Macaca mulatta: one gene and its partner. The protein of the gene in region 1 purifies or fractionates together with the protein of each later gene. This does not show direct contact. Links are inferred from orthologs where the notes say so. Each region holds a gene or a part of one and is shown on either strand. Other genes may lie near its edges.

The links.
Region 2: the proteins of DNA2 (region 1) and MMS19 purify together in Homo sapiens (affinity purification with mass spectrometry; 3 studies listed by BioGRID and IntAct, counting the BioPlex papers as one, with this or other methods). This does not show direct contact. The link is inferred for Macaca mulatta from reciprocal best matches to the Homo sapiens genes DNA2 and MMS19.

What each region holds. Positions count from the first base shown.
Region 1 is NC_133414.1:81,344,677-81,348,327, reverse strand, and holds part of DNA2 (DNA replication ATP-dependent helicase/nuclease DNA2), read right to left. Parts: intron 3,635-3,651; coding exon 3,545-3,634; intron 3,460-3,544; coding exon 3,255-3,459; intron 1-3,254. UniProt on the Homo sapiens protein: Key enzyme involved in DNA replication and DNA repair in nucleus and mitochondrion.
Region 2 is NC_133414.1:109,521,468-109,525,118, forward strand, and holds part of MMS19 (MMS19 nucleotide excision repair protein homolog), read right to left. Parts: intron 1,480-3,651; coding exon 1,393-1,479; intron 836-1,392; coding exon 761-835; intron 365-760; coding exon 287-364; intron 1-286. UniProt on the Homo sapiens protein: Key component of the cytosolic iron-sulfur protein assembly (CIA) complex, a multiprotein complex that mediates the incorporation of iron-sulfur cluster into apoproteins specifically involved in DNA metabolism and genomic integrity.

The DNA of each region.
Region 1 (3,651 bases):
AACACACACACACACACACACGCGCACACACACACACACACACACATCAAGCTGGCTCCATCCATCCATCTTTTTCATTTATTTTATTTTTATGTTTTTGAGATGGAGTCTCGCTCTGTCGCCCAGGCTGAAGGGCAGTGGCGTGATCTCGGCTCACTGCAACCTCAGCCTCCTGGGTTCAAGCGATTCTCCTGCCTCAGCATCCTGAGTAGTTGGGATTATAGGCGTGCGCCACCAGGCCCAGCTAATTTTTGTATTTTTGGTAGAGACGAGGTTTCACCATGTTGGTCAGGCTGGTCTCAAACTCCTGAACTCAGGTGATCTGCCTGCCTCGGCCTCCAAAGTGCTGGGATTGCAGGCATGAGCCACCCAATCCGGCCATCCATCTGTTGTTGTTTTTTTTTTGAGACAGTTTCACTCTTGTTGCCCAGGCCAGAGTACAATGGTGCAATCTCAGCTCTCTGCAACCTCCGCCTCCTGGGTTCAAGCAATTCTCCTGTATCACCCTCCCAAGTAACTGGGATTACAGGCATGTGCCACCACACCCGGCTAATTTTAGTGGAGATGGGGTTTTTCCACGTTGGTCAGGCTGGTCTCAAACTCCCGACCTCAGGTGATCTGCCTGCCTTGGCCTCCCAAAGTGCTGGGATTATAGGCATGAGTCACCGAGCCCGGCCGCCAGCCATCCATCTTAATAACAGGAGACAATGATTTTAGAGTAATATGCTCATATAATTGGTTGCTATATCCTTATTTTATTTTCTTGAGACAGGGTCTTGCTCTGTTGTCCAAGCTGGATTGCAGTGGTGCAATCATAGCTCACGGCAGCTTCAACCTCTGGAATTCAGTGATCCTCCTGCTTCAGCCTCCTAAGTAGCTAGGACTGCAGGTGCACAATGCCACACCAGATAATTTTTTTTTTTTAAGTTCGGAGACAGAGTCTCGCTCTGTCGCCCAGGCTAGAGTGCAGCGGCGTGATCTTGGCTCACTGCAACCTCTGTCTCCCAGGTTCAAGCGATTCTCCTACCTCAAGCCCCCTGAGTAGCTGGGACTACAGGCAAGCACCATACCTGGATAATTTTTTTATATTTTTAGTAGAGACAGGGTTTCACCGTGTTGGTCAGGCTGGTCTTGAACTCCTGAACTCAAATCATCCGCCTGCCTCAGCCTCCCAAAGTGCTGGGATTACAGGCATGAGCCACCATGCCCAGGCACATCTAGATAATTTTATAAAGAAATTTTTTTTCTTTTTTTTAGGAACAGGGTCTCACTATGTTGCCCAGGCTGGCCCTGAACTCCTGGCCTCAAGTGATTCTCCTGCCTCAGCCTCCCAAAGTTGCAGGATTATAGGCATGAGCCACCAAGCCCAGATGGTTACTATATTTTTATTTGAACTTATGTAAAGACTTCCAACTCAATGCTGAGAAACACTACATAAAGCAAAATGTAGAAATATAGGGTAAAAACTTAATTCTTAGTTCCCAGAAATAACAATCAAGTCATTTAAAGTCCTTGTGAAAGGCCAGGCGCCGTGGCTCACGGCTGTAATCCTAGCACTTGGGGCAGTGTAGGAGGGCATATCACTTGAGGCCAGGAGTTTGACACCAGCCTGACCAACATGGTGAAACCCTGTCTCTAATAAAAATACAAAAAATTGGCTGGGCGTGGTCGTGTTTGCCTGTAATCCCAGCTGCTTGGGAGGCTGAGGCAGAATTGCTTCAACCTGGGAGGTGGACATTGCAGTGAGCTGAGATTGCACCACTGCACTCCAGCCTGGGTGACAGAGCAAGACTCTGTCTCAAAAAAAAAAAAAAAAAAAAGTCCTTATGCAGATTTCTGTTTAATGATTGGTTTGTAAAAAGGTCTTCGTGTGCATTTGTGGGGGAGGGAGGTTATAAGAAACCTCCGTACCTTCCACATAATTTTGCTATGAACCTAAAACTGTTCCAAAAGAAAATAAAACCTTTTTTTTTTTTTTTTTTTGAGACGGAGTTTCACTCTGTCACCCAGGCTAGAGTGCAGTGGTGTGATCTCAGCTCACCACAACCTCCGCCTCTCAGGTTCAAGCAATTCTCCTGCCTCAGCCTCCCAAGTAGCTGGGACTACAGGCGCCCCACACCCAACTAAGTTTTGTATTTTTAGTAGAGATGGGGTTTCGTCATGTTGGCTAGACTGGTCTCGAACTCCTGACCCCAGGTGATCCACCCACCTCGGCCTCCTAAAGTGCTGGGATTACAGCCATGAGCCACTGTGCCCGGCCTTAAAGTCTATTTTTTAAAAAGTCTTTAAAAGGACATCGATTTATTATACTCACTGTCCATTTGTAAACCCAGCCCTTTGATAGTATCAGTGCAAATTCCTTTTCTAGGAAATAGAATTATATCCTTGAGTTCACTTTGTGGCTTTCCTTCTTCAAAAGTCAATTTTGACATCTACTGACCTCCAGAATAAACCTCCCCCCAAAAATATTCAACCTATAGAAAGAAAGACTATTTCGGGCCAGGCACATTGGCTCACACCTATAATCCCAGCACTGTGGGAGGCCGAAGCAGGCAGATCATTTGAAACCAGGAGTTCAAGACCAACCTGGCCAACATGATGAAACCCTATCTCTAGTAAAAATACAAAATTAGCCAGTGTGGTGGTGGGTGCCTGTAATCCCAGCTACCTGGGTGGCTGAGGCAGGAGAATCGCTTGAATCTGGGAGGAGGAAGTTGCAGTGAGCCAAGATCGTGCCACTTGGGCAACAGAGCAAGACTGTGTCTCAAAAAAAGAAAAAGAAAAAGAAAGGAAAAAGAAAGAAAAGACTATTTTGGGTTGAAGTGTGAGAAGTACATTAGTTTTGCCTTTTTATCCCCCCAGAGATGGAGTCTCACTCTGTCACCCAGGCTGGAGTGCATTGGCACAATCTCGGCTCACTGCAACCTCTGCCTCCCAGGTTGAAGCAATTCTCATACCTCAGTCTCCTGAGTAGCTGGGATTACAGGCGCCTGCCACCATGTCCAGCTAATTTTTGTATTTTTAGTAGAGACAGAGTTTCACCATGTTGGCCAGGCTGGTCTTGAACTCCTGACCTTGTGATCCGCCCACCTTGGCCTTCCAAAGTGCTGGGATTACAGGTGTGAGCCACCGTGCCCGGCCTAGTTTTGCCTTTTAACTGATAAGCTCTAATCAGGGCATATGCTAATGCAAACTGAGAAATTTAAATAATAAGACAAAATGACAAAAACTAAAGAGAAAAAATTTTTTTTTACCTTGTCTGTATTAAGAAAACAAACAGGATTGTTGGGTTCAAATACTCCCATCAGCCAAGGATTATCAGAATAGTCAGCATAAAATTCCAGGTCCAGTTTCACATCTTTAAAGTGAGGTAGGTTTATCACTGCATTGGCCACTTTGTCTGATCCACACTCCAGCTTGCCCTCATAGGTCAGTTTATTACTTAAGGACATAATTTTACTAAGGGAATTACAAAAGATAATGTTAGTTTCAGCAGACGGAAACAAATATGAAAACCACTCCCAGCTAACACTGTTACAAATACCTGTTCATTCTGTACTGCACGGTTAACTGTACAACAGCATTCTTACTCTGCTCCAGCCTCTTGAATAAGCTTTCACTCATGCCAAGAGCTCTGTCAACAAATCAGAT
Region 2 (3,651 bases), about 28 Mb from region 1:
TCACCACGGTGTCAGAGGCACCATAACCTGCACTCCTTGCCACAGAAGGACAAGAAGTGGGTAATGTGCAAAGGTGATCAACTGCTCTTACCAAGCAGCTGACTGTCACATAGGGACTCTCTCTCGTCATTCAACTAGAATTATGTCCCCCTGCTTGCCTCCTGAATAACCAGGCATAATACCTTGGCCCTGGGGATGACAGAGGGAAAAGGACAGGATGTATTATTTCCCCTCATGCCTGACAATTGAGAGTTAATAGCAGTGAATTTATCTGAGTAACACTCACCTCTCTGCGGATAGAAGCCCAAAGGCTGGGGAGGAAGTCCTTCAGCTCCTTCTGTCCATACACAGCACAGCAAGCATTCTGCCAAGGAAACCGCTGCTATCAGTTATGTGCACACTCAGACACCTAGGATGTGCAGGTACCTCAGCATAAGGACACCTGGAGGAGCCTTGGTCTCAGCAGAAAAACCAGTGAAGATTTTTAACAGTCCTACTCAGGGAACAGAAAAATAGGAGATTACCCTGGTTGATAAAATAGAAGCCTAAGAGGGAGTGCTGGTCAGCCTTTCCTCAGTTACTATGGGATGGGACACGACAATATGCAGCTGGGGGCTTCAGGTCGACACAGAGGCCCAAATCCTGGGTGTCCTCTTCTGAGGCCCATGAACTGTTCCTTGGCTATCCAAGAATCTATATCCTTTAGTACCCCTAACTTGTCAAAAGGTAGCTGGGTCCTGCAAGGAGAAAAATCACTCACCAGAGTCTGTAGAGAATCCAACTTGGCACTCAGAACCTCAGAATCCACTTTCTCAATCAACAGGGGCAGCAGAAACTGTGGGACAGAAGCAAGATCTTAAGCCTGAGATGGGTAGTATGTCAGTCACATCAAGTCCTCAGAAGCAGGTACTACTTATCAAGGAGCTATACTGAAGTCAGGAGCTATGAATGTGAGCTAACTTCCTGCCAAGCAGTGGCCAGAGCCCCACTACCTCAAAAACAGGCAAGCTGACAAAGTTACAGGATTTTAAAAGACAGCACCATATAGGGATTGGGTTTATTTATTTATTTATTTATTTTGTGTAAGAGGGGACGGGGTCTCCCTATGTTGCCCAGGCTGGACTTGAACTCCTGGGTTTAAGTGATCCTTTCCACTCAGACTCTCCTGAGTAGCTGGGACTATAGGTGTGCGCCACTGAATCCAGCTCTGGATTATGAAGAGATGCTAAAGTTTTCTGTATCGAAGGTTTGAAGATACCTGCCACATAAGACACTTGTAGGGTGTCATGCCCTAAAATGTATACCAGATCTTTTTTTCTCCATGCTTTTACTGCTCTTTCTTCAGAACCTTCTATTGGCAGAGGCTATACACCTTAATTTGGCTAGACCCACCTCAGCGAATCGTGGTGTAGAAGCCAGCACAGCGCGAAGACTCAGGATGAGGTCTTCTCTCTGGATACCATGGGGGTCATTAGGTGGCTGGAAAAGGGAGAAGGGCTGTGGGTTTGTGTAACATTTCAGACCACCCTTGAACCCAGGCTTGAACCTGGTAACCCTGTAGAACAGGGTGATACTCATACCCAATCAGGGAAGACAGTAAGATAATGACGCCTCAGCAAGAAGACATGCTTGACCTTTTATGTATTCCTTGGGAACTTTTTTTTTTTTTTTTTGAGACGGAGTCTCGCTCTGTCGCCCAGGCTGGAGTGCAGTGGCTGGATCTCGGCTCACTGCAAGCTCCGCCTCCCGGGTTCACGCCATTCTCCTGCCTCAGCCTCCCAAGTAGCTGGGACTACAGGCGCCCGCCACCTCGCCTGGCTAATTTTTTTTTTGTATTTTTTAGTAGAGATGGGGTTTCACCGTGTTAGCCAGGATGGTCTTGATCTCCTGACCTCGTGATCCGCCTGTCTCGACCTCCCAAAGTGCTGGGATTACAGGCTTGAGCCACCACGCCCGGCCTGGGAACTTTTATCTTTAGGCATTTTTAAAGATCTGATTACACATTTTTCTATCATTTCACCACTAAGAGATAAGCATGCTTAACTTTCTCGTGTATTGCTTTCTTCTCTGATATATATTGTTACTATGTGCTAGTATATACTGTTTCTGTATACTTAAAGATAATTTTGTACATGCAGTTTTTAATTTTTTTCACTTAACATATTAAGAACATTTTTATGGTATTATTCTTTCATAGCATTAGTTTTAGTGGCTATGATTTCATTTTGTGGTTGTACTAGTTTATCTAAATAATTCCTTGTTGATGGACATTTCCATTTTTTTCACCCTTATAAAAAGCTGTAATTCTGAAAACAGAAAGCCTTGATGGTTTCTGTACCAAGACGACAGATTGAAAACATAAATCAGGTTTTCCTTTTCCTCTTCGCAAACTCCACCAAAAACACAGTAAAAGAAGGGATTTACTTTTTTTTTTTTTTTTTTTTTTGAGATGGAGTCCTACTCCGTCACCCATGCTGGACTGCAGTGGCTCAATCTTGGCTCACTGCAACCTCCACCTCCCAGGTTCAAGCAATTCTCCTGCCTCAGCCTCCCAAGTATCTGGGATTACAGGCGCCTGCCACCGCGCCTGGCTAATTTTTGTATTTCTAGTAGAGACGGGATTTCACCATGTTGGTCAGGCTGGTCTCGAACTCCTAACCTCAAGTGATCCTCCCACCTCAGCCTCCTAAAGTGCTTGGATTACAGGTGTGAGCCACTGCACCTGGCCTAGAATTTCTATTCCTGAATTACATACCCATAATGTCAAAAATGAGAGAAAAGATTGAAGACATTTTAGGCTTACAAATCTAAAAAATCCTCACTTCTTCCTACATTCTCACAGGAAAATACTAAAGGAAGTACACCACCAAACTGAGGGGGTAAACCACAAAATGAGGAATATGTGAACTCAGGAAATAGGAGATCTGATCCAAGAAAAATGATAAGGGAATCTAGGATGACGGTGAAGGAAGATCCAATATCTACTCTGCATTAGGAGTAAAAATCAACCTGTTGACATTGTTTGGCTAAGAATGGTTTTAACATTTTTAATGTTTGAAACAAACCAAAAGAATATCTTGTGACAAGTGAAAATTATATGAAATTCAAAGTTTAGTGTTGATAATAAAAGTTTTATTGGGATATAGCTACTGTAGCTGTTCTTGTCTCTAAGGCTGTTTTTGTGCAGTAACAGCAGAGTTGAGGAGACCATATGACCCACAAAGCTACTGTCTGGCCTTTTATAGAAAACGTTGGCCAGGCATGGTGGCTTATGCCTGTAATCCCAACACTTTGGGAAGTCAAGGCAGGTGGAAGCCCAGGAATTCAAGACCAGCCTGGGCAACAAGGCAAAATCCTGTCTCTATAGAAAAATACGACAATTAGTCAGGAGTAGTGTCGTGTGCCTATAGTTCCAGCTACTCAGGAGGCAGGGGTGGGAGGATCACCAGAGTACCAGAGTCCAGGGAGGTGGAGGCTGCAGTGAGCCGTGATGGTGCCACTACACTCCAGCCTGCCTCAAAAAAAAAAAAAAAAAAAAAAAAGAAAGAAAAAAGAAAGAAAAAGTTTGCCAGCCTCTTCTTAGAGTGAGCATATAAGCATAGTGAAGAAACTGAACCCTAAATTGATCAGATCCACTATGATGGCACATGA